Arabidopsis thaliana: one gene and its partner. The protein of the gene in region 1 purifies or fractionates together with the protein of each later gene. This does not show direct contact. Each region holds a gene or a part of one and is shown on either strand. Other genes may lie near its edges.

What was found. The genes of interacting proteins can lie anywhere in the genome.
Region 2: the proteins of AT3G02490 (region 1) and AT3G18760 fractionate together in Arabidopsis thaliana (co-fractionation; one large-scale study listed by BioGRID). This does not show direct contact.

Annotation. Positions count from the first base shown.
Region 1 is NC_003074.8:511,844-516,461, reverse strand, and holds AT3G02490 (Pentatricopeptide repeat (PPR) superfamily protein), read right to left. Parts: upstream 2,985-4,618; 5' UTR 2,856-2,984; coding exon 858-2,855; 3' UTR 537-857; downstream 1-536. Other genes in the region: RTFL19 (ROTUNDIFOLIA like 19), read left to right, coding at 278-415; AT3G02480 (Late embryogenesis abundant protein (LEA) family protein), read right to left, coding at 3,605-3,685, 3,771-3,839, 4,022-4,078.
Region 2 is NC_003074.8:6,457,148-6,461,672, forward strand, and holds AT3G18760 (Translation elongation factor EF1B/ribosomal protein S6 family protein), read right to left. Parts: upstream 2,579-4,525; 5' UTR 2,412-2,578; coding exon 2,229-2,411; intron 1,020-2,228; coding exon 783-1,019; 3' UTR 530-782; downstream 1-529. Other genes in the region: AT3G18770 (Autophagy-related protein 13), read right to left, coding at 2,879-3,245, 3,766-3,947, 4,035-4,525.

The DNA of each region.
Region 1 (4,618 bases):
TAAGTTACTGTAGAATGCAGACAATAACTTCTCCCTATAAAAACTCACTCGAACAAGTATCTTCTCCATTAAATCACTTATCTTCCAAAGTTCTCTTATTCTTCACAATATCACACTCTCTTAATTAATAGTTAATATCATAGAAGATTCCTGCTCGGAAACAATCTAGACCAAGTTTTTTCGAGGGATTCGTCGTGGTGTAAAGTCTCACCAACTTTTTAGTATTTCCGATACAATCATTGTTATATCAACTGGTTTCTTAGGGACACAACTGGATATGGAAAGCATCATGAGCTTGAAGAGAAAGGAGAAGAAATCCCAAAGTAGAAGACTCGGGAAATATCTGAAAGAACAAAAGGGGAGGATCTACATCATTAGAAGATGTGTGATGATGCTCCTTTGTTCGCATGATTAATTTATTTATTACGATACACATATGTATATGTGTTTATTTTGTCCGATATGTAAATACATAATGTGTACTTTATAAGAAACAAAATACCAAATCTTTAGAGTACTAATGAATTCTGTAAACTCTTTGGATTAAAGGTCAATAGAGAAAAAACAAAGCTAAGAGACAACATAGACAACAAGATTGATAAATAGGCCTTTTGCTAAAAAGCCCACAAGACCAAATGATAAAATCTTAAGTTGGGGAAAGATTAGTAATGTAAACTGGCTTACGATGGAAAAGAGGCAGAGGCCTTTTTCTAAATAAGCCCATTTAAGCTACTAACAATCTTCAAAAGTCCCACATCGCCGCTATATGAAGAAAATTATAGCGATTAGAGTCGAGTAAGTGATTGTCCTTTTTGAATCACCACGTCCAGAAACAAAAGAAAACAACATATAATGAATTAAGCTTCAATTTGAGCAGGAGCAGGCAAAGGTTTCTCTAAAGAACATTTTTCAGGTTTCATGGTATTGAAAAGTTCTAGAACTTCTGCATTGCGACGGATATAACTTGGGGACATAGACAGTAAATCCTGAGCTTCACTATGCCTTGCAGACTTCAACATAGCTTCGAATACACGCAGAACCATTGAATTAGATGGAAACTTCTTTGAAGTCACAGCCTTCAGAAAAGCGAAAGCCTCTGCGCTTGTTCCACTATTCGATAAGTAATCCATGAACGGGTCCACGAAAGGAGGGAACCCGTGATTTCTCATCATAGGTAGAAGACTCAAAGCTTCTTCAAACCCACCATCTCTTGCTACCTTCTTCATCAACAGATTCCTCACCATAATTTTGTATGTACTGTGCCAAGGTTTCAACTGATTTTGTTTCACTAGCTCACTGAAAAGCTTGTATACATCTCTTGCCTGAAAACTGTTGCAATAAGCAAGTACCAACTTCTCAAATGCATAACCTGCATAAGAGACTCCCTCTTTCCCAATCATCTTCTTGAAACACTCTGAAGCTTCTTCGAGATCTTTAGCATCACAGTGCCCTTCAACTAAAGATGCCATTGCTTTATCATCTAAATGGTTTCCAGAAGCTTCCATAAAGTTCACAAGTTCGTTTGCTTCATCTTTCTTGCCCTTACGACTAAGTCCTGATGCAATCACACTCTGCAAATCACCGCTAGGAACATATCCACCTTCGTTCATCGCTTTCAACACCTCGTTGCTCTGTCCAAACCTATCAACGCTTCTCAAAGACTTGAGGACATGTTGCAGCATAACATCCGGCACAACGTTGCCATTCCCAGTATAAGCTTTCAAAGTTCTTGTAAATAAGTCCATGTCCAATTTCTTTGCAGTGACAATTTTCTTGAGCAGTAAACTGCAGCAGTGTGGGGTGGGTGTGTTGCTAATGCTACCTGCCATTGCAAACTCAAACAACTCAACAGCTTCTTTAATCATTTTAGTCTGACAGAACCTTGCTGAAACCCTAACATAAGTCTCCATTTCCATCTCGTAACCAGCACTCCTAATTTCTTCTATCATGTGCTGAAACCTATCAAGAAACTTCTCTTTCCCTAAAACCCTGGCCATAGCATTATACGTCTTCTCATCATGTTTAAAACTTCCAGACTCATCAATCCACCTAAAGAACAACAAAGCTTTCCTCGGATCCACGTCAAGTTTTTCCAAAACCATCTTTACCACATCACTTTTAAACTCGAGCTTCAAATCCCTTAGCTGTTTCTCTACATCAGCACCCCACACTTCCTTCATCACAATCTTACACACCCTATTGCAAACCTTGTCAACAGAGTTATCCATAGAACCTGAAGCAAATAGCTCTTTCAGCCTCTCCAAATCATTTTCTAGTCCATCTTTCTTAAACTTGTCACCGACTCTGTCCCTAACATTAGCTGAAACACCATGCCCTTTCTTCTTCATATCATCAACCAACCTCCAAAACTCATCAACTAATCCATTAACACCAAAAATACGCAGCATCGTGTTATAACTCTTGGAAGAAAGTTTTTGAGGATAAGCCTCCAAACCCCATTTGAAAAACCTCCCCGCAACATCAGGGCTTGATTCAAGTTCCCTCAGAACTCTCAATGCTAATTCATGGCTAATCACAACATCATTCGAATCCAGCTCTTTCGTAATCTCATCCTTACCATTCAATCTGCTAAAAACATCAATCACAACAGTCTCAGCAGGAAGTTTCTCTTCTATCGCAGACTCAGATGAAAAGCGTCGGCTAACAGAGCTCGCCAATGGCGATCGCAAGGCAAAAAGACACTGTCTTTGTTGCACTCCAAAACGTTCGTGGAGGAAAGAAGAGAAAGATCGAGTCGAATTGGAGATTACCTGGAACCGCGAGTGATGAGAAAGAAATGGACGAGGAGACGAACGGTAGCTCCGGAAAAGAAGCGATCGCCATTGATACCTCATCCTTAATGTCTATCTAAGCTACAACAACACTAGAGTTTGGCTTGATTTTGAACAAAAAGTTTGGATTTTTACGAATGGGAACGATGGAGCAGCAATGGCGCAAGAGAGAGAGGAAATGTTTAGGGCTTTAGACTAAACCTCTGACCAAGACGGAAGGTCGAGTATTTTTAAGCTGTCATCCTCCAACTTTTTGTAATTTTCATTTTAGCCACAACATTTTTTTATTTAGATAATTTTATCCTCCACAGCGATTAGGAAAATATGACCATGTCTTTTTGTGCTCAATCAATAATTCCTTATACTCTTGAAATGTTTTAGTAAGAGAATTGATCCAATCATGTTTTCTCACTAAATTTCCAATGATATATAAAAAACTGAAGGTTCCAAAGTTATTTGAGGAACAAAACTTCATCTAACGTTCCAAATTATCTTCATTTTGGATAAAATTTCCAAACTAACACTATAAGATATATACATTGTTTGATACTTACTTTCATTGATCTAATATTCTTTGAAGTTGTTAGTTGTTACTTTATACTTGAACACTGAAACCCACTCCCTTTTTTCTTCCACATTCATGATATTAAAAAGCATACTTTTATTAACTAGATAGATAAGATTACATAAAGATCCAAATGGACGCAAGGAAACAACATCAGAAAGTAGCAGGAATGAGAATTAAAACCCCAAATTTATTAAACACAAGTCGAAGAGGGGAATTAATTAGAAAAGAAGTCCAAGGTGCTTGCTTAGTGGCTTTTGTTCATGCCGGTCTTGTCCTTGACGACATCAGCAGCTCCTTGCGCCTTCTCCTTCATTTGTTGTCCAGTCTACAATTCACAATTTGATTTAAAAGTTCAATATTATGGTTTTACTACAAGGGAGCAAAATGAAATGAAAGAATCAAAACTGAACCTGTTGCAAGGAGTCTTGAGCTGAAGCAGCAGCATCCTTGGCCTTGTCCATCATTCCACCGGCCTTCTCCTATATTCACATAAGTTTAACATTATACATTATTAGATCAACCTTGTCTAAAAAGAACACCCTATCGTAATCCGTAAGTATTTGCGGGAAAACTATATGAATTTAGAAATGTAGAGATCTTTTACATATATTTCAACAAATTGATACGAAATGTGTAACAAAAGAAAGAGAGAGAGAGAGACCTTAGTCTGGCCAGTGGCTTGACCGGCTTGGTAGCTCGCGTTTTGCTTGTTGTCCATTTTCTCTCGTTCTGGTTTTGCTTACACTTTGAATTTTATGTTTTTGATTGATTGTTTTGTGTTTGATGATGGAAAATGATTGGAGCATTGGGTTGCTATTTATAACCCAGAGACGTGCTTGGGAGTCTCCACGTGTCGAGGACACGTGCATCGGTTCGAGAAACTTGCTGCAGTCGGTGGCTAGTTTTGGGATCCACGTGTTGGATAACCGTTTGACCAGGACATAAAAGACACATACGTGGTTCTCTCGATTTCTGATCCGCAAACGACACGGTATTATTTCACTTAGACTCCTCTGTTGCGCGATAATAGGATTTTGAGTGAAAGAAAATGTTTCCTTCTTCTTGTACTGTCGTTTTAAGCAATTTTTTCTTAATTTAACTAAACGTAATTATGGCAGAATAAGGTTCTAAGTGAAAACAAGAAATTGTGGTTTTGAAGTTTTTTTTGCCTACTATTATTCATATGAGTCATCATCCTTTTGTTAAATTATACTACCACTTTCTTTTTAGTTCTTAAAATTTTAAATAGTCAGCTCTA
Region 2 (4,525 bases), 5.9 Mb from region 1:
TATTCTGTCAAAATATCCACATTCGACACAGGTATAAACAATTGACATGAACTATTTCATAATTTTGAGAGGAGAAAAAAAAAATGCATACATGAGTATACATTCATATACATTCACATCAATGCATACATTCATATGAACATAGAAAACACACGATTAAAAGATTTTCTCTCTCAAAAAAAAAAACGGTATAAGGCAACAGAATCGCGTAAATTTGTATTAATAAGATTCTGACGTTTCGATTATACCTGGAGAAACGAAGCTTTGTTCTGTAATTGAGACGAAACGGAGAAGGAGAACAACAATGGGAAGAAAAATCAGAACCCTAATTGAGAGAAATCGATGGATGAAGAAGAAGATGCAGCGACACGGGAAATTATAACAAGTGTTTGTTCTTAGCTCATTTACGAACCACCACCTCTATTTTAATTTCCTTCTTTTTTCCCAATATTAATTTTTAGAAATGATAATTTTTCCAAGTCCTAAAAACAGAGAAACGCTCTCCCCATGCAAATATGACGTGTCAATACACGTGGCATTTAATTCGGGGTTGTCAACCCAATTGATGACGTTGAATATCCACTAGGAAAATAGCGAAAACAATAAAACACATGAAATTTAGTTCAATTTACCTAAAAATTATTATTACATAAAATTAATTTATTTCATTGTCTACGCAAAACGCATACCACCACTTCATGTAACCAAAAACATTCATAACCATTGAAGGGGACTCCCATGAAGAAATTGTCTGAGTAAACATTTCAAAGAAATTGATTTCCTCATCGTGATAACCCTAAAATGTTGTTGTCATCTTCGTCCGAGGAGGATCCATCATATAAGCTCCCACTAGTGAGTCTGTTAGGCACAGTCAGACTATCTTCCTTTTCCGACTGTCCAATCTTGATGTCACGGTGTTTAACTAAGAGCCAGCGCAGCAGTTTGTCTTCCTTGTTCAGGTAGTGAAGCTCCTTGTTCATGTTTGGAGTTGTCATCATTGTTATCTGCATCAATTGTCCCTGCAAAACATTCACCCGATATGAAGGCAGAAAACACTTAGCAAACGCATGACTCTGCAGATTAGTAAGAGAGGAAAGCTAATAAAAGTGGATGTTCAATTTTCACTCTCTGCAGATTCTATCAAAAATACATAGGAGATTGATGTTTAAAGCTTTTGTACTGATACTCTCAAAACATATGATAATCCTACATCTATAGTTGATCGAAACAAATGTATCCCGTTACTTCCTAGGTATGTATGAATTATATATTCTCCTTCTGTTCCTATATAGCCAAATTGTCTAATAACAGAAACAGTTTGAAGAAAATGTATAAGCGAAAGCTGCGATTATTTGTACCAGGTTATCTTACAAGTAATCAAATTTCAAACTGAAGATCCAAAGCACAATCAAATTCTTTGGACAATTCAGTAGATAAGAACTTATCTAGAATCCTAGCTGTTGTATTACCCTCATCAGGATTTTCTGGAATCTTAAGTTCGAAAGGAAACACTGTCGAGGAAATGAAAATCTACAAAATACCATAGACTAAACGCAACGTTTGTGACTAGTAAGAAATCACAAAACAAGTATCACTTCAGGATCGTAGCCAGTATTTGTGTACAAGACCGCATAATTTCCCCCAAGTCCAGCTATTTAACCATAAGAATCAATCAGAAAGTTACAAGACACAAAGCTTTTTCGAAAGGCCAACCTAAAACATAATGCTAATAATAAGATTGCTTATCTATCTACGGTTATAGCATCAAACTAATAATCAAACTCCACACTGAAGATCCAAAGCAAAATCAAGCTCTTTGAACAATTGACTAAGATAGGAACCATTCTAGAATCCTACTGTTCTGTTATCCTCATCAGGATTTTATAAATCGGGTAGACAAAATCACGCAAAAACAACCTTTACTAGTAACAATATGATGATTTTGCTTCAAGAATCCAACTGAAAGTTAAACTAAGCGTAAGTAATCTGGGCGAAAGAAGTATCAGTCCATGGTCGTAGCAAGCATTTGAGTAAAATGACTGTATAAATTCCCAAAATCTAGCTATCTAACCATAAGAATCGATCAGAAAGATGAAAAAGACAAAGCTAACACAAACCTAAACTAAAATGCTAATACCATTGAATCGGCCTGGAGAAAATCCTGATCAAACAAACTCTACGGACTCATAAACCATCGATTCAGTAAGAAAACTAACGAAATTGAATACCTGATAGTGTCTTCCGTCGAGCTTTCTAATACCGTAACCCAATTCGACCTTGCCAAAGGATTTGATCTCGGTGAGGACGCCATTTCTGCTGTAAACGTGTTTACCAATGCGCGCAACGAGGTCGATGAGGCCCTCCTTCCTGATTATAGGCTTGAACAGAAGCATACAGTCGTAGAGCGGCATTTTTGATCCTTCTTCCTTCCGACAAGAGATTAGCTCTGGCTTGTTCTCTCAGGTTTACCTTAGGGTTTTAGTCTTCTCAGATTTCGCCGATTGGGTCATTACCAAACGGCGACGTGTTGTTAAGTTTTTTTTAGTGAAAACGACATCGTGTTGCTATATATATTATTTTTGTCTGAGAGTTCTTAAATTTGATTTGGAAAATGAAATAAGAAATTGTAGAAAGCTTTCATATTAGTTGACAACAAATGAAAGCTTTGTAATGATTATAAATAGTAGTTAACATATGTTTACCATTTTATTTACATGGAATTTTTTTTCTTTTTTTCCTGGGTATAAGTTTATTTACATGGACCAATATCATCCAAAGAGTAGAGAGCTTAATATTATTTACATAGGCACACATTATATGAAAAAAAAAAAAAAAAAAAAACAAACCGAAACCCAAAATGGGTCAAGATTCTGAAACATCAAACATCAAAGGGTGAAGTAATAGTAACCGAGGAAGGGTTTGATGTGGATTGACCAAGCAACAAATGATTCTTCATTTCTTTGTAAGACCTCAACTCTTCCAAAGCATCAGCTGTTGTCTTTGAGGCCAGAGCAATCCCCGAGGCTGTGATAGACGCTACTGCTATCTCATGAGCCCCTGCGGGTTTGTTGTTGTTCGAGCAAATTTCAGGTCTGGAAGATTCAGAGACATCTTGTCTGAGAGGTGGCGCTTTCTTCAGCATTCTCACAAGGGCACCAACTGCAGCATCTTGGGACTTCTTCGGGTATGACCCGCTTGAATCGAATGGTTCATGTATGTCTCCTCTGTGGTCAAACGACCCTGGTCTGAAATAAGGCAGTAAACCAAAAATCAGTTTCTTCTACTGGAAACAGTTACAAAACAAAGTCTCAAGAACTGAATCAGAAACCTTGAGACGAACCATTTCAAGTCATTATATGATTAACTTATTATCCCCAAATATATCATGATATTAGTGATAGAGAAGAGTTACGATTTCTTGGTTTCTCTACTAAACAGTTCTCTTTCTTCTTTTTAAAAGATCAGTACAAGAATACCCCAAGATTGATCGAAGCTACACAGATACAGAAGCATTACAGTAACCATTTCGGTCTTATGGCTGTAAAATCTCAAAGAAAGAAAGAACATGAACTAGCTTCTTAAGCCCTACTGATTAGCATAAGAGGCCAGGATTAGTAAATCACTTATTTAGAAAGTCAATTGGTTTTGAAATATAATAGCTATCCACTTAGAAGGACAACCTAAAGCAATCAAAATATTAAATGCTTGGGCTGTAGATAAATTGGAAAGGAGAAAATGAGATATGTAAGGTTTTTAAGACCATACCTGCTATTCCGATCTGTAATATCATCATACTCAACATCAAATGGGCAAGGGAAATCAGGATCATCAAAATCGTCTTGGAAAGATCTACTGGAACTCCGGGAAAATGATATCCGCGGAGAACTGCTGGAAGACGGCCTCACCCCAGAAGGTCTTCTAAAGTCATCTCTCCCATAAAGAAACAGCTAGAAGGATAATGAATATCAGTTTAACTCGTTAAGTCACATGATCAAGAAAACAGATAAAAGATAAGACATGTGGAGTACGTTTACCTTATCTATTGCTGCTCCAGATTCACCAGGACCCAAGTTTCTCACAGGCTTCAACGAAGCGTGTCTCGACAACTTCAGATGAGCAGAAGGTGCCACAACGTTTTCTTTGGACTGGAAAGTTGGAGCTGGTATTCTGACTGGAGCACTTTCAGTACGTGTGATGCCTCTTGGGACGGCGTGTTTTGGTGCTGAAGGAGAAGGAGGAGGGGAGAAATCTTGACAAGGAGAATACTCTTCGGGGTAGCTTTCCTTCCTACGACCAGTGGGTATATCAGAAGGGTGAGGAGGAAGATGACGAGAGCAAGGATGTGAAACCAATGCATGTGAATCCGAGCGTGTAGGCGATGGTGAGCAAGAAACAGAAGGTGGAGATGCCTTGTAACGATCGAAACTCCAGCTATGGCGCCTTTGAAATGGCAGCAATGGAGGAGAACCATATGAAAGAGGAAGGGAAGGGAACCTCTTTAAAGGATCAGCCAAGGGACTTCCAA